5 linked regions of the Ovis aries genome follow. Each later gene encodes a partner of the first gene's protein in a complex. Links are inferred from orthologs where the notes say so. Each region holds a gene or a part of one and is shown in the gene's direction. Other genes may lie near its edges. The genes, in order: MKS1, TMEM67, TMEM107, AHI1 and B9D1.

Region 1 (4,310 bases):
CTATATTTGGATGTCATGTGATACAGTACTTTGCTTATAATTATGTCAGGTTGACTTTGCTCTAAGTTAGATTTGGTGTAAAATGAAAGTTGGTTCAGGCTCCAACTTTATCATTGGTGGTTCATATGGCAAAATGTTGCCTATTCACAATTTTAAAAGAAAAAATTAGATTTATTTTTTTTCTTAAGAACTGATATTCTGCCTTCATGGTTTCACCTGTTGAAATAATTATTACCATTTCCCAGGTTGGGAATTGTGTGCTCTTACAGAATAAATTGGTAGGTGAGGCATTGTGAAGAAAGGTGGAAGGTGTTCATGCTTCAAAAGACAGGCCTGGGCTGGAGTCTCAGCTCCTCTACCACTTACTCCAGTTCAACCTTTAAGTTCTGGCCTTCAATAACTTCATTGGCTATGAGAATAACAAATACCTACTTAAGGGATTTCTAGGAGGATTAGGGACAATATAAACAAGGAGCCCTATTAGATCTTACATAAATAGGGCTATTGTTATAGTGAGTCTTTAGCGTTATACAAGAGCAGCTTTGTTGCTGATGGCTCCCAATGCCATATAATCAAATTGGGTTCAGGGGACAAGAAGCAGCAAATGACAAAGGCTGATAACTGTTGCCATCCCCAAGGTGCCAGAGAGCCGGACTCGAGGTTACAGGTGTGTTCCGCCTTTGGCAGCCCAATGCAGAACGTCTTCAGGATGGCGTTTTATTGACTTTCTCAAGGTCAGTGCGGTATCTAAGGTGGCTTAAAAATGGGGAAATAACACATGCAGGGGAAAAACCAGTGCAATAATGACATCTTTTCCTTCCTTACTGCTAGCTTCCTTGTTTCTTTTTTCTCTGGTTCAGTGAATGCCAACGCAAGGATTAATAAATCTTCTGACGTTTTTGTTTGCTTCCAAGAAAATACTTTCACGTCTGGGTAACTGTCTTCACCTCCCGTCACTCCTCTGGGAAGAATGGGTGCATCCTGTGAGTCCCCGTTAACCGATTCTGAGGCCAAAGTGTCCCAGGATTCAGTGTAAGACTGCGATGTGGTGGGAAAAGTAGTCGCTGAGAACTCAGGACACTCGGATTTGGGGCCCACGACCATTTCTGTCCGAATCTACATAATGGGGGCCGACAGCGCTGCTTTAGTTTCCTCATTCGTCAAGCGCATCCACCCCGGCCTTGGGTGTGAGCGAGCTTTGTTCGCACTAAAGACCAGTGGCAACCCCGCAGGACCACCCCAGCCGCGATGGGCGGGGCTTCTGCCGCGCCGCCTAGGGAACCGGGTTCCAGGTTCCGGACGGCGTCTCAGTTGCCAGGGGAACCGGGGCGGTGCGCTTTCCGGCGCAGTCGTGCGCGGCGCAGCTGTCATGGCGGAGGCCATCTGGAGCAGTGACACCGGAGAGGCCGTGTACCGATCCCGGGACCCCGTGCGCAACCTCCGCCTCCGGTAGTCGCATCACCCCAGAGCCCCGTGCTTTCATGCTCTCAGATGATTGGAGCCTGAATTACACTTCTCCTTTGCTGGGGCCCTCATTTCCTTTTGCAGTACCGACCGCTGTCACCCCGGTCTCCTCGCGTTTCCCTCACTACCTGGAACCCTCTTCACTCGCAACTTCCTAGACTCACCCTTTCAGGACCCTGTTGCTGCTGCTGCTAAGTCGCTTCAGTCGTGTCCGACTCTGTGCGACCCCATAGACGGCAGCCCACCAGGCTCCCCTGTCCCTGGGATTCTCCGCCCCCCAAATTCCTCAGAGCCCTGTCTCCCTGCAATACACTCTCGCATCCTCTCCTCCCTGGGGCCCCATGCCCCCTGCCCTCCCCTCTGTTGCCTGCATCCGGCCACATCTCCTGGTAGCCATAATCTCTTCAGTGTTTTGTTCCCCATCCTTGCTGTGTCTCCTGCTTGTGTATCTTGTAACAGTATTTTGGGCCTCTCTTTTCCTGGCAGAGTCCACCTGCAAAGAATCACATCAAGCAACTACCTCCATTGCCAGCCTGCTGCCCAGCTGGGGAAGGATCTCATAGACTTGGCCACTTTTAGGCCTCACCCAACGGCCAGTGGGTGTATGGTGGTGATGCGGCCCCTTGGGGATCTGGGGAAGGGCCTAGGGCGGAGGTTACTTCTTAAGACAGAGTAGACCCAGGTCTATAGTCTGAGGTATAGAGAGGTTGGGTTTCTTGTCCAAGGTCACCGGGCTACTAACTGTTGAAATCAGAATTTGATCCCAGGCAGTTTTAACTACTACATTATGTTGTGTGAAAATTGAATTCAAGAAATGATTCCTATCATCAAGAAGCTGATCTGAACTGTGGTTAAATGTAGTGAAATAGCAAATACCGTGCTTTGGGTATATTATAAATTTACCTCTAAACCCAAATGCCATTTCTGACTTTTTTTTTTTCTTTTTTCTGAGAAAATAGCACTCCAAACTTGAAACTTAGAATATAAACACTTTTTATAAACAAGTTAAACATTTGGGTCTGCATGGTAAATGCACTTTTTTTTTTTAACCTTGCTGTGTGGCATGTGGAATCTTAATTTTCCCTGTAGCGATGGAACCCATCCTCCCTGCAAAGCAACCATGGGACTACCAGGGAAGTCCCAGAAAATGTACATATTAGTATTATCTGTGTTCTAGCCTTTTTCTTTCTCTGAGAAGCCAGAAAACTAAGAAAGAGAAGACAGTGTGTTTGTGTTAGGTCACTAGTCTCTTTGCTTTTGTTGTTTCTGTTCAGAAATATTTCTGGGTAAAAGTGTGAGCTGGTGGGTTTTGAAGCATATATCTTTGGAAAAGGCATACTCATCTAGGAGTGTACATACTGGATTTGGTTCTTAAAAAGAAATCTGTTATATGTCTTTCCTTTTCTCTCTTAATACTTGGCCTCTTAAGGTTACAGTGTTTGTGATTCTAGATTTATGGCTTCAGAAATATTGAAGATAAAAATGCCATGGTTCATAGCAAATGTAGACAATTGGGATTGAGAAAGAGCTGTTTAGCCTATATCTAAATTTCAGCTCTTGACTCTGAATTAGATTAAATAATTCCTGGAGGACGTGATTTCTTTTATTAAAGTTAGAGGGGTGATTAAAACTTCATGGGTCTTAACCTTGGCTTCTGCACATATCTACTGCCTCTCTAGAGTGAGTACATCATAATCAGTGAACTCCAACTGGTTTTGTGGCAAATATAAGAGCACAGACTTTGGTTATAACCAACCAGAGAGCAAGAAGTGGTGCTAGTTGGGCTCAAACATTTGACTCACTCTGTTTTCTTTGGAGGTGGACACCGCCCAGAGGAAGAAGAAGAGGAGGCTGTGATTGGGTGGCAAGAGAAGCTCTTCAGTCAGGTGGGCTAGTGTCCCTGTCTGCTCCATCTCCCTGCACCCTGCCCACGTCCACCTGCCTGGTCGCAGGGAAAGGTTCCTGATACATATCACCAAACTGACTTCCAGAAAGGTTACAACAGTGTATGCTTCCCACTGCTGTGTGTACGGGATCAGTGTAATGCAGTGCCTGCCACTAGCCAGTTTTATGATCTTGAGTAACATGCTTTTTACCTCTGGGCCGCATACCGAAACAGCAGAATCACTGTCTTGGTATGTCAGTTCTATAACAGCAGAATTGAGTTAGACTGTCGCTCTGGTTCCTTGTAGCTCTAACCTTCGTTGGCCTTTCTGTCCTCCATCAGTTTAGATAAAACATCATGACAAATGGTATTTGACCAAACAGTTGTAGTGACAAAATTAAAATACTCTCAGTGGAACTCTGTTTCTTTGTGACCTCAGTTTGAAGTAGATCTGTACCAAAATGAAGCCGCCTGTCAGAGCCCTTTGGATCATCAGTACCATCAAGAGATTCTGAAGCTGGAAGATTCAGGTGGCAGGAAGAACCGACGGATCTTTACCTACACTGACTCTGATAGATACACCAATTTGGAGGAGGTACCATTCTTTCCCAAGTAGACAGACTCAGGTAGACTTAGCCATGCTCTGTAGCTCCCTTCACCTTGGTTTCCCCTGGCTTTCTGGCCTCGTGTTTTAACTCAGAAGCATGTTAAGTGAGCCTGTCTAGGAATTCCCGTGTGTTTCTGGCAGCCAGGCTGGAGTAGGTAGGTGGGCACAGCCTGTGGGTGATGTGGCTGCTGCTCCCTGCCCGATCTGCTGGAGGGACTGGGGAGCCAGCAGTGTCTCTAATGCTAGGCTTGCAGACTGCACATTGCGGGGAGCAGCCACTAGGTTTGATTTCCCCCATGCATCATGAGATCAGACAGGTGGATGGCATCTAGAACCATCTAGATTGAATTCATC
Region 2 (3,696 bases), on another chromosome or scaffold:
CAGATGCCCTCTTGTATAAAAACAAGGGTCCTAACTGGGTGTTCCTGGGCCACTGCATCGCTGAAGAGGCTCTGGCCCTCTCTGAAATTGTGTGCGAGAATCATATGTGTGTGCTTTCCCCACTGCCTCCTGTGAAAGGATCTGTACCTTTCATTAGAATTTTAAAAGGGTGTTCACATCCCCAAAAGGATGAACCCACCCCTGCTTGGAGAGTGAAAAGAGGTCTCAGAGCAGAACCTTGGGGAACTGTTTGAGGCATAAATTGTAACACACTCTTGTAGTCCTTGCTGGTTTTGTTTTGCCTTAAAAAAAAAAAAATTGAAGTATAGTTGATTTACAATGCTGTGTTTTTATTTACAATGCTCTGCTATACAAGAGAGTGTATTTTGCTTTTTAAATTTAATCTTATCTTTGAGAATTTTTTCTAAGATTCTTTAACCTTTAGTTATGTAAACAAATAGAGAAAGGACATTCATTATCTGATCATTGAAAAATACAGACTGTATACTTAAATTAGTAGCAGTTACCAAGCTTTTGCTGCAAATGTTAAAACTACTTTCCTTGGTTAATGTTTTAGATTAGCAAATTTAATACCCCTTGTTTGTTTATTATAAGTCATGAAATATTTTTTCTTTTTTTTAAATTCAAGTATAATTGACATATAATAGCCATGGAGTATTATAGTAACTAGTTATTTTAAATATTCAAGTTTTATCACCAGAAATTTATCACATTTATTATTCTATTTTTAAATTTCTAATTTATATCTTCTTAATTGCCTTTTTTTAAAATAGATGAAGGATATTCTTTCAGCAATGTTCTGTATTATGGAAATGAAGCTACTCTTCTTATTTATGATCTGATGTTCTTCTGTGTTGTGGATTTGGCTTGCCAAAATTTTGTTTTAGCAGCCTTCCTTACATATCTACAACAAGAGGTAAATTTAAGAATTTTTTGTGGATTTCTTTGAAGAGAAATATGTGGGAAGTGGATATTTATTTTTATTGCAGAGAGTATCAGTGTCTACTTACACTCAGAATTTATAGAGATTTAGAATTTGATTAGCCCTGCCAAAGAAAGGAAAAACATTTCAACCAAGTTCATTTTACACTCTCCTTCAGAGTCACTGAAATACCAAGGACTTGTGGAGGGCATAAGTTGCTTGACCAAATGTGAAAGAAATCCAGTAGGAAGACACTTAAGTTACCTTTCTCTCTTAGATGCCAGCATTGAGCAGAATTAGAATCCCATTTACCATCTGCACCAATGTTACCATTACAAAAGGCAAACTCTGAGATCTAGCTCAGGGCTCAGCCAGTATAACTTTCAATTCACATATCACCTACCTGCTTGGATGAAAAAACAGCTGCGTGGATTAGTGTGGAACCTGAAATGGAGACTTCAAGAAAAGCCAAGTTTGTTCTAGAAATGTTAGCATTCGTATCACCGACATATTCCCCACTTAGGTCAAAGTAGTGTATGAATTAGTGGTATGATGAGTTAGTTCTTGATAGAGATCTAGAATTAGGAACACATTTTGTTCCTGACAGTTCTTTTGATATTTCCATAGATTTTAGAGCTAGGGGAAACTTGTCTTGCCAAATATTTCAAAGTATATTCCTATGAACATAAGGGGATTTGTATTAATTTATTAAAACATATTCTGAATAGGGACATACACTGCTTCAGTATTATGAAAGATGATAGTCTTGAAATAGTTTTGTATATCACCATGGAATTCAGGTGTCTGCTACATGAAAATAGCTGCAAGAATTGGCTAGTTTAATTTAGATATTTTAACTGACATTCACATTTGATTTCCTTTATATGTATTTTCCCTCTGAATTGTTTTTACTTTTCTTTTTTTTTTTTTCAGATTTTTAGATTTATTCGTAATGCAGTAGGACAGAAGAATTTGGCATCCAAAACACTGGTGGATCAAAGATTCCTGATTTAATTTATTGAGTAGATAAGGACAATTATAATCATGGCCAAAAAAAAGGTCATGATTATCAAGTCAGTTTGCTATATTTTTTAAAACTTGTAATACAAATTATTCTATTTTTATTTGTTTTTTAATCTACAGGAAGATTTATTTTTATAACTCATAGAGACATAAACTTGCTTTGTGAATATGTAATATGATACAATGAACAATATTGTTTTCCTGTTATGCATGGTATTTAATTCACCAGCTCATAAACTAGATAGCTCTGACAATGGGACCAAAAAAAAAAGTCTAAATTGCTTTCAGCATAACATTTTTTAAATGATAATCAAAACAGTCCCCATCATTTGTGTCTATAAGATTATTTTATAACTAGATTTGTGTATATTTTCTCACATTGAAAAAAAAATTGATTCCAGTTCAAGCCTAGTTTTCAGTTCATTTTGTTTTACGTATTTTATGGTTAAATAAATGTTGAAAATATTTTCAAGTTTACTTAGATATTTGAAATTGTATGTGGGCTGACTCAGTTGCTCACTCTGGCAGTGAACTGATTCACTACTGGATTAATAGGCAGTTTGTGAAGTGGTACACTCTCATTCCTTTGTTTCCCTGAAGTATGCTGTTTCTATGAAGTGTATTTATATCTATAATATATAAATATCACTTATATTATTGAGCTGTAATATGTGACATTTTCCCCGATAGTTTTTTATACATTTTAATTACTCAACATTTTAAAAGCACTTCCAAACATTTGCTCTTCAATTGTGTTTAAAGATTATAAATAACAAATGAACTGTAAGTTATCATGTTATGTGAAAGTGGTTTATTGAAAGCGAACTTAGGCCTGAGCCACATAGCCAATAATTCTGCATGATATCATTTTTTTTCAAAGTACTCTTTAATAATCCTTTTTATTGTATACTGTGAACTTGAAAGTCACCTTTTATTCAAGTATAATGGTCATTAATGCCCAAAGCAACATTTTTTTCTGCCTTCTGGTTAATGCTATGTAAATACTTAAATGTATTGCTATGTAAATATTGTTTATCTTACCAAATTGAAAATATAGAATAAAGCATATTATTAGTGTTTCTCTTTCCTGTTTGATTTAGTATGTATTTTGTGAAGTAGCATTTAGGAATACACTACTGAATCTGGTGTCCCCAGCCATTGCTGAAGCCGAATCCTTTAAAAGCGTTACCAGAACCTTGAGGATGACTGAGGAGAAAGAGGGGAGGCTAATAAGTTGAGGATCTGAAATTCTGCTTTCTTAAGGGTCGGCGTACAGAGATGCCTTTCTAAAAGGCTCAGAGATAAGTAAACATACCAGCCTGGATTTGTAAAGCCACCTACTCAGAAGCTTATGAAAAAAATAACAACTCTCATTCCACATATGAGAAGTTAATATTCATGTGAATGTTTCTAAGTGGAAATTTTAAAACACAGGTCAGTTGGCTCATCTGCTGATAAATTAAGGCAGAGAAAAGACATTTGAAGTAGTTTTGCACAGTACTATTTTTACTTTGGTGAGGTATATAAGAGTGCGCTCGGGTTTTCCTGTATTGTTGACTGCTGTGTTCATATTGCAGGATTTAAACTTTGGGATCACGTGCTTAATTCTCTGCTAGACCTGTAGTCTTTTGTCCGTTTCTGTAACACCAACCCACTGTGCGTGCGTGCTCAGTCGCTCAGTCACGTCCAGCTCTTTTGCCAGGCTCATTTGTCCACGGGATTATCCAGGC
Region 3 (4,224 bases), about 19 Mb from region 1:
CCATGTTAAAAATAAAGATTAAACGCCCCTCTTCCTGGGACACCTTCGATGTGATTATGAGAGATATTTTCCAAGTGCCAAGGCCATGCTGACCTGCTGTGTATTAATCATCTGGTCCTTAAAAAAGAAAAAAAAAAAAAAAGAAGAAGAAGAAATGTAACCCTGACTTGTATAAAGTTCTTTGTTCTTACAAGATGCAAAACTGCACTGAAAAAGATGCTTCGCTGGGGCAGTTTCTCAGAGTAATCGGGGAAAGGAGCTTCCAGGCTACTCCTTAGTTTGGCTCAAATAAAACTCTTTTCTATTCTTATTATGGATTATCCATTATTATTCTTGGGAGATGATCTGGTAAGAGGGTGGGGGGGGGAGCCTGGAAGTTGTGACTTGACTGTTAGCCGTGAACTCCGGCGAGAACTTTCCGTTCTACAGGAATCACCTTTAAGGTCCGAAGGTCCGTGAGGTCCCAATCGTGAGAAATGCTTGGACTATAGCTGGGCAAAGAGACTCTGCTGGTCACACCTCCAAGAGATAAGGAAATCGTAGACTCTGAATTTCCGCCTTCGACTCTTGCCTCCCAGGGACGCGGGGTTTCATTCTCTTCCTCCACTCCCTTTTCTGGTCCCGTACGTCCACTTCCTTCCCGCAACACGCCTCTCATCCACACCCTAGTTCAGGAGAGGGGCTCTTTTCTGTACTCTGCAAATCCCTCACCAATCTGAGCGAGCTGGGTGGGTGGTTGGGTGGGGAATCAGAATCAAGGAAAGTTCAGGTATACGGTCCGCCAACAACCAGGGGCTCCAGGACAATAAAGGGGCATCCACCTCTCCAAGTTCGGCCTAGGTCAAGGAGAAGCTACACGGATGCGGGGGATGGAAGAAAAGACAGTGTCCAGGGCTCGGGCATGTTGACGCCCTAAGGCTGGAGTGGTGGTGACTGTGGTGTCTGGAGGATCATCTTGGGCAAAGTAGCAGGGGCTGGGGGCCAGGCCGCTCCCGGCATGGGGATACAGGGAGGAGCGAGTGTCCGAATTTCCGTTCGCCAGTGCTGTGTGGGCAGACTCGGCAATGGGGGGCCGCGCCACAACACACTCTCAGGCTGTGCAGACAACTCATCTGCACGCGGGAAGGCCGGCAGCTCGATTCTCCGCATCCGGTCGGGATCTGCACAGGTATTGTGGACCCGGAACAAAGTTTCCCAGAGGCCCGGAGGCGGCGCGATAATTTGCCGCTCTCGCGAGACTTTCAGAGGTCCCGTCGGAGCCATCGTTTTTGCGGTTACTAAGGCAACTGAGCGGTGCCAGCGTAAGCGGGAAAGCGGCGTACGTCGAATTTTTGTCTGCTAGCTTGGGAGACTTGAGGAGTGACCCTCCTTGAGCTTCCAGCCCCAGAGACAAACGGCCTCTGCTCCAGGCGGTACCTCTTCCCCTGGGAACCATGGGCCGGATCTCAGGGCTCGTGCCCTCTCGCTTTCTGACGCTCCTGGCGCATCTGGTGGTCGTCATCACCTTATTCTGGTCCAGGGTAAGACCCAGGGCCCTCTTCTCGTTCCTCCTTCCAATTTGGGGTGGTCCCAGCCCCACTCCACCCTTTCTCTCCCGGGGCCTTACACGGTGGGGTCTTCCCATATCCAGCCGCCAGACCCTCTTTCAACTTCTGTTTCTTTCTGCCCTGCTCCCTAGGACAGCAACATCCAGGCCTGCCTGCCTCTCAGATTCACCCCTGAAGAGTATGAGAAGCAGGACATTCAGTGAGCATGTGGGACAGGGTGGGCAGAATTAGGCAGTAGAGGGAGTGAAGGGGTCTTAGAAAAAGTTCAGAAGGCCTAAGCCACTTCCTTCTTTTCTGCAGGCTGGTGGCAGCGCTCTCTGTCACCCTAGCTCTCTTTGCAGTGGAGCTGGCTGGTTTCTTCTTAGGAGTTTCCATGTTCAACAGCACCCAGAGCCTCATCTGTATCCTTTCTACGTGTACTCCTTTCCTCCTCGCCCTTGTCCACCATAACGCCCTTCAGCCACTTAACTAGGCCTTTCTGGCACAATGGCGTTTGCTCTAGCAGGCAAACAGAATCCCTCCTGTGGAGAGATGTTAGGCAATGTGGAAGATTTAATACAATCTCTGATCACTTTTTGAGCTCCTGCTACTCACCAGGCACTGGAGATCTCAAGATGAGAGTACAACAGTTTTCTATCTTGAGGAAGAGGCAGATACACAGACATCTGCAATTCAGTGTGATAAGCACGGGTGCCATCAGATGTTAAGATACAAAGCACTATGGGAATGCCGAAGAGACAAAGGAAGTGAGGAAGATGGATCAGGGAAGGCTCTCAACACCAGGGTACTGGAGAGTGATCCCAGCAGTGTATTGTGTCACTGTGAGCATGTCTGTGTGCTTGGAGTAGATCAGGAGTCTACTACTTCACCTGAAGGATCCAAACTAGATATGGGATGGAGGTAGCTTGGTTTCCCAACAGGGCAGGCTCAGCTCTGGCCTCTACACATGGCCATCCTAAAACCCAAAAATCTGGGCTGCTGGCTCTGGCCTTTGCAGTGTGGTAAAGGGAGCAAGAGATGCCTTGCTCACCAGGAGCTGATTGTGAATGCAGATGCCAGGCCCATCACCGGCCTTTTCTGGCTCATCACTACCTGTTGACCCAAAGGCTTTCCTTGACTCTGGTGTATTCCCAAGCCATCGGGGCTCACTGTAGTGCATCTGTGGCCCTATCCTTCTTCATATTTGAGCGTTGGGAGTGCACCATGTATTGGTACATTTTTGTCTTTTGCAGGTATGGTAGCACCTAATGTTTGAGGATGGGGAAGGGAGGTTTACTTTAAATCTGAAGATTCCCCTACCCAGCCCTTTGTTCCATGTGTAACATACCAGATCCACTCAACATTCCCGAGTCTTTTTGAAGTCCTCCACTCCTACACTTCAGGGGGTCGGGGGGTGGGATCGCTGGCTTGGGGATCTGGGTATTTTTATTAGAAGAAACTCTGAACCCATCACCTGCCTTCCTCAGTGCCCTCCCGGCTGTCACCGAAATAACATTATTCATCAGCGTCTTTGGCCTGAAAAAGAAACCTTTCTGATATCTTCGTGACTGGAAGTAGGGATGAAGGCTGAAGGAGCGAAGGACTACTCACCCTTCCTGGAAGAGGGAGGCTTCAGCCCTCCTTCTAACACTGCGTTTGGTGAACGATGTCAGTGTTAGGGTAATTATCTCTCAAGTCTGGGATTATCTGTGTTTTGTTTACAGTCCTTTGTAATAAAATATATTTTAGGGTAAGATCAAACTTACAGGAATTCCTGCAGGAATTCCCTGGCTGTCCAGTGGTTAGGACCCCACGCCTCCACTGCAGCGGGTTCAGTCCCTGGTGGAGCAACCAAGATCCTGAATGCTAGGCAGCGTGGCCAAAAAAAAGAAAAAGAAAAAAATCAAGACAAAAATTTCAGGAGAAAATTGGGGTGGCCAAACTACTATAGAAACGGAAGGCTGTTTTCCAGCCTTGCACTGTAAGACCCTAAATGTCGCTTCTATTCTAGTTATTACGGTAGATTTCTGACGGAAGGGAGTGGGCGGAGATATGTAAATAAGGTTATACTTTAGTACCTCGAGCTCTTAAAGTGAGTGAAGCATTCTGGGAGGGATTAGCGTTTGCTTTTTGACAGCCAAATGGAAAAATTTATTTTAAAACATCTGCAAATAAATTGAACAACAGAAGTGGAAGAACCTGGATAGCTTTAGATGGCTCGAACTAACATGTCGTTTACTCACCCTACCTGTTAGCGGAGTCTTATTACCGGAGTACGGAATATTGCAGTCCTCTCGGTATCGTCAGGTAGGATAATCCTTACCTGTTCCTCCTTTTGGAGGGCAGAATAGAACATGATGATTGGAGCTCGCATGATTCGTGATTAACGGCTCTGCGTAATCAGGACTTGCAACACCCTGATTGCTCCTATCTGATTCTTCCTGGCGATCCGTGATGTTAATGTACTTTACGATTAGATTGAGTTTTTAGTACTGTCTCCTTAGTTGTACTTGAAGTAGCGTCGGGCACGACTGAGCGACTTCGCTTTCATTTTTCACCATGCGTTGGAGAAGACAATAGCAACCCACACCAGTGCTCTTGTCTGGAGAATTCTAGGGACCGGGGTGCCTGTTGGGTTGCCGTGTATGGGGCCGCACAGAGTCGGGCACGACTGAAGCGATTTAGCAGCAGGAGCAGC
Region 4 (4,460 bases), on another chromosome or scaffold:
GGAGGAGTAGGATTTTACAAGGAAGGATTCTTCAAGGAGACAGGACAGCATGTGCAAGAACTAGGGCATGAAAGAGTATGAATTATCTTGCGTGGTACACACAATTCAATATAAATTGAAGCATGACTGAAACAAGGCAATGAGAGATGAAACTAGTCAGGTAGATCGTGTGTCTTTTATTCTAGGCAGAGTAACACAACTTTCTTCTACCGATCATCTTTGAACAATTTCCAGGACAGTGGTATCAAATTCACATTTTCAGTGAGGTCAGTATGACAGCAGCGTGGAGACTGGAATTCAGGGATCAAAACTGGAGTCAAGGGACTGGTAATGAGGCCATCTCACAACATTCCCAATGAGAAGTGATAAAGCTGAACAGAAGGCAGTGGGAGTTAAGATGGACAGATCTTACCCTGGGAATGTTAGAAATGTAGAATGGACATGATTTGATGTTAAAAGCCATTTGGAAGGATCTACAGGGATTTAACTAGAAAACTGGGAGGATAAAGCCAAGATAGAGACCTGGAAAGAGAATTAAATTTTAAGTGGAAAGATGGGGATCTACTGGGTTGGTTAAAATTTATCACTAACTTCTCACAGGATTTGGAGAAACAAATGAGATATGCTTTGAAGTGTGTAGAGAGGCAAATGCGAATGGAAAAGCTGGACTCCAAATAAATATGCATAATACTCTTACCACACGAAGCAACAGGTTTTAGTGTGACTGCAACTGCAGGAAATGCAAGAGTCCTGGAGTGACTTGACTAGTATTTTTCCATCCCTGGTGACTCAGAGCTAGAGATGGCGCCTGTGGCAAAAATTAGAACGTGGGAGGGGGCACTGGGTGTAGCAGAAGATGACCTTTTGGGGGTTGCTGTTCTGTTTTAAACACATAGTTATCTCACTATAACTGTGATAACTCAGCCCCAGATGAATAATTTTTTTCCCTAAGATTTGATCTGTGGTACAATTCTGTATTCTTCACGCTTAAAAGGATGTTTCATTTCGTGGGCACGATCGCGTGGGGGAGGGTGGTGGTGGTGGTGGCTTGACAAGTGTATTTCTTTGCATCATTCATGTTTCTTTGCCTTGGCGGGTTCCACGACAGCGTTCGTCTGGCTTTGCCCCCTGCCGTTTTTCCCAGAGCTGGCTACAGTTCTGAAGAGCAGAGAGCTTCTTCCGGGTGACAGACCGGACGGTAGCAAGCTCCGAGAAGCACCTGCGTATTCCCAGGGTTCCTTCCAGCTCCAAGGGGAACAGATTCCCTTTCGCGGCCCGCACGGGCCCGAGGAGTCCAACGCGCAGCCCCCGAGCGCGCGCCCCACCATAATCTGAGGGCGCGCGCGCGCCGCCTCCGCCTACGCCACACAGCAGCGCCTCCAGACCCCGGAGAAGGCGGGGCTGCGGGAGGGGCGGAGCCACGGTGGGGCGCCGAGGCCGGCCGAGGTCCAAAAGGAGAGCCGGGCCCGCATCGGTTGTCATGGGGACGGCGCCGTAGGCAGGCGCTGACGTCGGCTGGAGGCGCGCTGCCAGCCCTGCGGCACCCGGCGGGTACTCAGAGTCTGGGAGGCGGGCGGCTGGGGTGGCTGGGTGGCTATCTCACTCCCAGCCCGCCCCGCACGGTCCGGGTGGTGGCTCCCTAGGGACCCGTTGTCGGCAGTTCTGCGCCCTCTTCTGTGTGAGTAACCTGCAGGCTGGTGGTGGCGGGATCCCGGGCCCGGGAACTCGGCCTGCCCTGCCCTCTCTGGGGACAGCAGCGTGGAGGGCTGCTCAGATCCGAGGGCGTGGGGGCGGTGGGCCCAGCAGGGCGGACGGGGGCCGCGAAGCGCCACTGCAATCTGACCGGCCCAGCGCCGCGGAGTGGAGAGATGTGGTTTTGAGAGTTACCTCTGCGTACTTACTTTTTTTCTCTTGTTCTGGGCGGATCTTCTCCGGAGCGTTGAGCGTGTTGTCCTGAAAGAGTGAATGCAGTCTTTGCCTTTCCTATTCCTGATTCTGGTTTCAGTTCAGTTCAGTCGCTCAGTCGTGTCCGACTCTTTGCGACCCCATGAATCGCAGCACGCCAGGCCTCCCTGTCCCTCACCAACTCCCGGAGATCACTCAGACTCACGTCCATCGAGCCATCTCATCCTCTGTCGTCCCCTTCTCCTCCTGCCCCGAATCCCTCCCAGCATCAGGGTCTTTTCCAGTGAGTCAACTCTTCGCATGAGGGGCCAAAGTACTGGAGTTTCAGCTTTAGCATTATTCCTTCCAAAGAACACCCAGGACTGATCTCCTTTAGGATGGATTCTGGTTTAACAGCATACATTTAAATCAGATGCTACATTTATTTCCTTTTAGGGTGTCATCTTGGTGCTGAATCTTGAACCTGTGAAATGCCTTAATTACATCTGAGAAAGGGTGATCGATCTGTTACGTTTCTAAGAGTCTAGCTACATTAATAGGGTTATTTCAATATGTATACAAATAAAAGGAAATATATACTATTTAGGAATCTCTTCCAAATGGCTGTGCTACTTTTCAGCATTACTATAAAAACATCTACTGATTGGAGTATATGACTTTTCCTTCTTCTGAGAGAAGGATACTAACAGTTTTTTCACTTGTTGCATTTGTGATTGCTGTTACTGCTTGGTCTTATGGAAGAAGATTGCTTGTTATGAGGACTCTGTGAACTTAAAAAGTATATATGAAAGAAATTTAAATGCCCAAAATTTTTCATTGTATTTATAATCTTACATATTTATAAATACTATCTTGATTTATTGATTGAATATGTATACGGGTTTTTGTTTCCTTTTTTCCCATGCTGTAAAATTCAGTAAGGAGTGAATCATCCAAGCCTCTGCCTGTTTTTTCCTTGATCTTTAGTCATTTATTGGCTGATAATGAGGTGTTTAGAGAAAAAATAAAATGAGATGAAATGTAACAGTTTGTTTTCCTATTTTGTATTAATGTTTCTTAGCAGGTCCTGTTAAAGGGATTATGAGGGAGAAGTTTTTAAATATAATGACATATATGAAGTTCACAATTTCTTTTTAAGTTTGACCTTAATTTTCCTTGATGATCTTACTTATCAAATATAAGTCATTATTTAAGGTATTTGCTATAGTACACATTACTGCTTAGAGATGATTATTTCTGTAATGTATTTGCTGTGTTCATCATTGAATAATATTAGTGTTTACTAATTGGATTGTACATTAGACTATTAAATAATAGTAAATAATATAAATACATAATTATGTTTTGTCTATCACATAATTGTCTGTTTTTGCCTGGAGAATCCCTGGGACGGGGGGAGCCTCGTGGGCTGCCATCTATGGGGTCGCACAGAGTCGGACACGACTGAAGTGACTTAGCAGCAATGCTATAATAATCACATAAAGTAATGGGCCATCCACTGTGCTGGTCACTTTTCCTTTTCAGTATTTCCTCTTCTCCTTATAATAAAGGAGGTGCCATTTTCATTTACCAGGCAAAAAAAAAGAAGCCTTAGTGAGATTAAGTAGCTTGCCCAAAGCCATACATTCAGTAATTATCAAAACAAGAGCTTATGCCTGACTCATTTTGACCCTATTACTGCCCCACCCCCTTTTAAAATGGGAATACAAAGATGAAGAGAGCATAGGCCTAGCCCTCTCACAGCTAGCAGTTTGGTTGGGGAGGGGTGGGTAGTTTATCAGAGTGAAAATTCAGGAAGCAGAAGGAGGAATGAAGATCAAGGCACTTCGAGAGCACAGTGTAGACCACTTCTTTCTTGAAACTCTTTTTCCTTTGGTTACTGCTCCCAGTTTTTCATTTTCTGCCTGATGTCTTTTAGTTTATTTTGTGGGCCCCAAATTTTCTTTTCAGCATTTTTTTCTTGCAATCATCACAAATATAAATAATGCCCAAATTTTCATCCTCTGTCTCATCACTGGATTGCTATATTCTGTTGTCTACTTAACATAAATGGATTATATGTATATGTATCTCCATCCTTACACACACCCACATATATATATATATATATATAGTAATAGCTATCATTTTTGAAGAGCTTGCCATACTGTAGGCATTGTGCTAAGTGTTTTACTTGCATATTCTTATTTAATCTTTATAGTACCCGATAAGTCATTTATTACTATTATTCTCTTTTGAAAGATGAGGAATTGAGGTTCAAAGAGATTAATCTACTGACAGGTAGAACCGGGAATCTAACAATAGAGCTAGTGCTTGTAGCTGCTTAATATCCATCAGGTATCAGCCCAGCATGTCCCACCAAGTTCACTGAGTGTCCCTGTAAGAAATATCTATTATAGTTGTGGCTAATGTTGATGTCTGTTCTGAGGCACTCTTTTAGCGTTTTAATCATTTAACTCTTAACAATAGTCCTCTGAATAGTTGCCCTTTGACTTTACAGATAAGGAAACAAATTGCCCAGCCCAACTCTTTGGTGGCTCAGAGGTTAAAGCATC
Region 5 (4,310 bases), about 25 Mb from region 1:
ACCAATTCTTGGAGCTTGCTCAAACTCATGTCCATTGTGCCACTGATGCCATCCAACCATCTCATCCTGTTTTGTCCCCTTCTTCTCCCGCCTTCAGTCTTTCTCAGCATCAGGGTCTTTTTCAATGAGTCAGTTCTTCACATCAGGTGGTCAAAGTATCAGAGTTTCAGCTTCAGCATCATTCCTTCCAGGAATATTCAGGACTGATTTCCTTTAGGATGGACTAGTTGGATCTCTTTGTTGTCCGAGGCACTCTCAAGAGTCTTTTCCAACACCATACTTCAAAAGCATCAATTCTTTAGCACTCAGCCTTCTTTATGATCCAACTCTCACATCCTCCATACATGACTACTGGAAAAACCATAGCTTTGATAATGAGCAACGGAGACGTATTCACACTCCAGTACTCTTGCCTGGAAAATCCCATGGACGGGGTAGCCTGGTAGGCTGCAGTCCATGGGGTCGCTACCAGTCAGACACGATTGAGCGACTTCACTTTCACTTTTCACTTTCATGCATTGGAGAAGGAAATGGCAACCCACTCCAGTGTTCTTGCCTGGAGAATCCCAGGGACGGGGGAGCCTGATGGGCTGCCGTCTATGGGGTCGCACAGAGTCGGACACGACTGAAGCGACTTAGCAGAGTTGGCAGCTAGTACAGCAGACGTACTCAATTATCCATCCACTCCACTAGCTGCCACCAGTGCTCAGGCAACCGGGACACGGGGGTGGCCCAGACCCGGTGTTCGTGGCGTAGGGCTCAGGGGAGAGGCGGCACTGGCTGGAGCTATCACAGTAATCGATGTGCAAAAGCGAACAGTGGGGAGCGCTGAGAGCAGGCGGACGGCCGAGCCCCGCGGGCTCGCCCCTCCCCGCCGGCAAGGTGCCGGGGCGGCCACTCAGAGGCCCGTTTTCCCGCGTCACGCGGAGACCTGCAGTCTTGGGCTTAAGGACCTTCCAGGTCCCTTCTCGGTTGGTCTAATAAACTTTTGGGAGGCGAGGGTCTCAAAGGCACGAGGGAGCATCTGTAGACCCGAGGCAGGGAGCTGCTGGCCCCACGGGGACTCTCGGAAGCGCGGCCGGACCCCGCCCCTTGGCGGCCTCGGGCTCCAGTCACACACTCCAACCGGCAGCGCGGTGGTCAGAGCGGACACACATTCCCGGGCGGTGGCCTAGGTCCCGCACCACCAGCTACATTCACGCGGGGTTCCTCGGGCGGACCGCCCCTCAGACGGACCAGGCGGCTGAGGCCCGCCTCCCACCGCACAGCGCCGCTCCGACTGCGCTTGCGCGCCGCGCCTTGTGCGCGTTTTCCCGAAGCTCCCGCTTCCATGAAACTTGTCCCGTGCGCCACGCCGTCGTCTCCAGGGCAACCCGGCGCCTCCTAGTAACCGCGCGGCCCGGCTATGGCGGCCGCGGGCCCCAGCGTGTTCCTGCTCATGGTCAACGGGCAGGTGGAGAGCGCCCAGGTGAGCGGCCGTGAGTCCTCCAGGGTCGAACCTCGGGGGAGGGAGCTAGCGTGACAGGCTTGGCGAGAGATCGCGCGGACCCTCCGCCACGAAGTGCGGTGGGGAAAAAGGCCTGGAGCGTTGAGCCAGGCCGAGGCCACAGTTGGCCGAGCCCACGTGAAGATTCGGGCAGGGGCCTCCATCCACCCCGCGACCCTCAGCTCCTCCCTCCGGCGCGGGTTGGTCTGACACAGCGATGGTGGCAGCTGTCCTGACCCGGAGGCTGTGTCTGTCCGACGGAAGGGGACAGTGCTTTCCAGTCCCCTGCATGTCCTAAGAACCGTTTGTTACTACTGGAAGACATGACATATGACAGTCTTCATGCCCAGCCCCGCTCAGCCAGTCCTCACAACAACCATTTGAAGTAGGTATTACTTGCACCCCCATTTTACAGATGGGAAGTTGCCCAAAGGAAGTGGCAAAACGAATTTCAAACCTTGTCTGATGTCAAAGCTTTGCTGGACTTGCCTTTCCAGGCTGTTTTAAAAATATTATGATTATATTGTGAGTACTAACCAAGGTGGTCTAGGTAAAGCTCCGTGGGATCTCTTAGCGGGCATCTCCCGCCTTCCTGTTTCATCAGGGTCACTGCCCCATGCCCCCACCCTGTCCACCTCCCCTTGGCCTGGTGCCTAAGGCCAGCCTCTCCTGTTCTGCTTTATCCCAGCAGGGGCCTCAGCTGGGCTGGGTCAGTGTGCCTGTGTTCTCAGCAGCCCCTCATCCCCACTCTTCCTCCCCTCTGCTCGAGGCCACTCTGCAGGCCATTGGCTCCCACCAAGCTTTGTGTCCTGGGAGCACCTGTCTTCTAGACCTTTCACTTCAGCATCACTCCTTAGTGCCCACCCTGTGCCAGGTGCTAGGGACACAGAAAGCCCACATACCTGTCCCTTGTTCACAGTCTAATGGAGCTGAGAGAATAAACATGGTCAGTGCTGTGATGGAGCACCAGGGGCTGTGGAAGCTGGGATGTGGCTCCAACAACCTGGAAGTCGGCAGGCTCCCCAAAGTGTCAGTTTTGAAGGGTGAGCAGGAGTACTCCCAGTGAAGGCATTCCTTCACTTCTCATTAGAAGGGCACGTCATACAGATGTCAGAGCCTGAGCAAAAGCCTGGGGGCAGCACTGTCCCTGGACTATCCCACATCTTGAGACCAGACCTTCCAATGAACTCCGTATCCATGCACCCTGCTCTCTCAGCCCCCGCCCCCTAGGTGCCTCATGTTCAGAGTTGCTGGTGGCTGTACCTGCCTAGCTAACAGGTGGTCACAGCATGAGTCCCTGTGAGCAGAAGCTGTGTGTGCTTATTTCCACAGTTTCCTGAGTACGACGACCTCTACTGCAAGTACTGTTTCGTGTATGGCCAGGACTGGGCCCCCACAGCGGTAAGCTGGACCCTACAGCCTCCCAGACTCACAGCTTTTGTGACTGAAGGGGTTTCTGAAGGCTCCATTGCACCCTTTCCCCTCCCAATTCAGAACCAGTTAAGAGTTCAGGGGTGGCACACACGTGAGTTTGTTCCCAGTGAGGCCGGAGCAGAGAATGCAGAGATCCCTGATCCACCCCTAAGACTGTGGTCGCTCCTGGGCCCTGCCCTGCAGCGAACAAAGCCAGACCAGCCCAGCTCTGCTGGGGCCACTTGCCTGAGAGGGAGACAGACTCACGCTCCAGGCTGTTGGCTAGTAGCGGTGCTGAGGGGAAAGTGAAGGCAGGAAGGGGAGGGATGAAGAGGCCAGAAAAGGCCTCCTTAAGACAGTTTAAAAAAAAAAAAAAAAAGATGGTAACTGAGCGTAGAGCTGAAGGAAGCAGGGGGATGGGCCAAGTAGAAGGCTGTAGAATAAACTAGCCAGGCAGAAAGACAGGGGAGAGGGCAACAGCCTGCTGGACCATACCCTATTCCGCAGGAGGTGCAGGTGGAGCTTGGGCACCGGGAGAGGGGAGGGGCCTCAAGGTTTCAGGTCCTAATGGATAGAAACCCTCAAAGACCTGGGAGCCACTCTGTCACATCTTAGGTCCCTTTGTTTGGCAGAAGATGGTGATGAAAACAGCTCTCAGCTGCCACCTCAGAGGTAGGGTGGGTGGGCATGGCAGCCTGGAGCTGGGACACTGGCCGTCACTGTCATTGTCCTTGCAGGGGCTGGAGGAGGGCATCTCACAGATCACCTCCAAGAGCCAAGATGCGAGGCGGGCGCTGGTGTGGAACTTCCCCATCGATGTCACCTTTAAGAGCACCAACCCTTACGGCTGTGAGTCTGCAGGCCTCGTCCTGCCCATCCATGGGGCCCTCTACCAGCCTTGTCAGGTGCTATCAGACACCTGGCTGTTTTCCCCTCCTTCCCACTGTGTGCACTTGACCTTTCCGAGGTTCTGAGGAAGTCGGTGAAGCCCAGCGTGAAACCTTGGGCAGTGACTGCCTGCGAAGGTCAGAGCCTGGTGTCTGGGGCTCAGCAGTCTGGCCCCTCAACAGCTCTCCCCCGTCCATCACCACTGTGCTCCCGCCAGTCCCGACCCCCCTGCTCCTCCTCCAACACCCTGCCCTGAGCCAGGGGTAGGCCCTTCTCTCTGCCATGGGCACCGAGCCCTCATCCTACCTCTGATCTCCCAAAGTTCTCCTTGCCAATATCTGCAGGGTTTGTTGTCCACTGTACCTGGTCGTCTGTGATCACTCTCACTTAATGAATGTTAGCTGCGTGCAGAGCCTAGCTTGCTCCACAGAGTTGTGCGTGCTTTCCACGCGTGGGCTTGGCTGAGCTGTGAGATACTATCGAGAAGGCAGGCTTCTCTCCACCTTTTCTCCTGTTTAGGAAA

The links.
Region 2: MKS1 (region 1) and TMEM67 share a complex: the UniProt entries of both Homo sapiens proteins name them as parts of the tectonic-like complex. The link is inferred for Ovis aries from reciprocal best matches to the Homo sapiens genes MKS1 and TMEM67.
Region 3: MKS1 (region 1) and TMEM107 share a complex: the UniProt entries of both Homo sapiens proteins name them as parts of the tectonic-like complex. The link is inferred for Ovis aries from reciprocal best matches to the Homo sapiens genes MKS1 and TMEM107.
Region 4: MKS1 (region 1) and AHI1 share a complex: the UniProt entries of both Homo sapiens proteins name them as parts of the tectonic-like complex. The link is inferred for Ovis aries from reciprocal best matches to the Homo sapiens genes MKS1 and AHI1.
Region 5: MKS1 (region 1) and B9D1 share a complex: the UniProt entries of both Homo sapiens proteins name them as parts of the tectonic-like complex. The link is inferred for Ovis aries from reciprocal best matches to the Homo sapiens genes MKS1 and B9D1.

What each region holds. Positions count from the first base shown.
Region 1 is NC_056064.1:8,840,090-8,844,399, reverse strand, and holds the start of MKS1 (tectonic-like complex member MKS1), read left to right. Parts: upstream 1-1,347; 5' UTR 1,348-1,369; coding exon 1,370-1,449; intron 1,450-1,950; coding exon 1,951-2,060; intron 2,061-3,282; coding exon 3,283-3,350; intron 3,351-3,788; coding exon 3,789-3,944; intron 3,945-4,310. UniProt on the Homo sapiens protein: Component of the tectonic-like complex, a complex localized at the transition zone of primary cilia and acting as a barrier that prevents diffusion of transmembrane proteins between the cilia and plasma membranes.
Region 2 is NC_056062.1:83,376,869-83,380,564, reverse strand, and holds the end of TMEM67 (meckelin), read left to right. Parts: intron 1-794; coding exon 795-937; intron 938-1,876; coding exon 1,877-1,957; 3' UTR 1,958-3,049; downstream 3,050-3,696. UniProt on the Homo sapiens protein: Required for ciliary structure and function. Part of the tectonic-like complex which is required for tissue-specific ciliogenesis and may regulate ciliary membrane composition.
Region 3 is NC_056064.1:27,637,152-27,641,375, reverse strand, and holds the start of TMEM107 (transmembrane protein 107), read left to right. Parts: upstream 1-1,276; 5' UTR 1,277-1,433; coding exon 1,434-1,520; intron 1,521-1,678; coding exon 1,679-1,746; intron 1,747-1,847; coding exon 1,848-1,948; intron 1,949-2,682; coding exon 2,683-2,779; intron 2,780-3,013; coding exon 3,014-3,083; 3' UTR 3,084-4,224. UniProt on the Homo sapiens protein: Plays a role in cilia formation and embryonic patterning. Requires for normal Sonic hedgehog (Shh) signaling in the neural tube and acts in combination with GLI2 and GLI3 to pattern ventral and intermediate neuronal cell types.
Region 4 is NC_056061.1:60,811,009-60,815,468, reverse strand, and holds the start of AHI1 (jouberin), read left to right. Parts: upstream 1-1,557; 5' UTR 1,558-1,678; intron 1,679-4,460. UniProt on the Homo sapiens protein: Involved in vesicle trafficking and required for ciliogenesis, formation of primary non-motile cilium, and recruitment of RAB8A to the basal body of primary cilium.
Region 5 is NC_056064.1:33,860,110-33,864,419, forward strand, and holds the start of B9D1 (B9 domain-containing protein 1), read left to right. Parts: upstream 1-1,385; 5' UTR 1,386-1,405; coding exon 1,406-1,468; intron 1,469-2,818; coding exon 2,819-2,887; intron 2,888-3,636; coding exon 3,637-3,748; intron 3,749-4,310. UniProt on the Homo sapiens protein: Component of the tectonic-like complex, a complex localized at the transition zone of primary cilia and acting as a barrier that prevents diffusion of transmembrane proteins between the cilia and plasma membranes.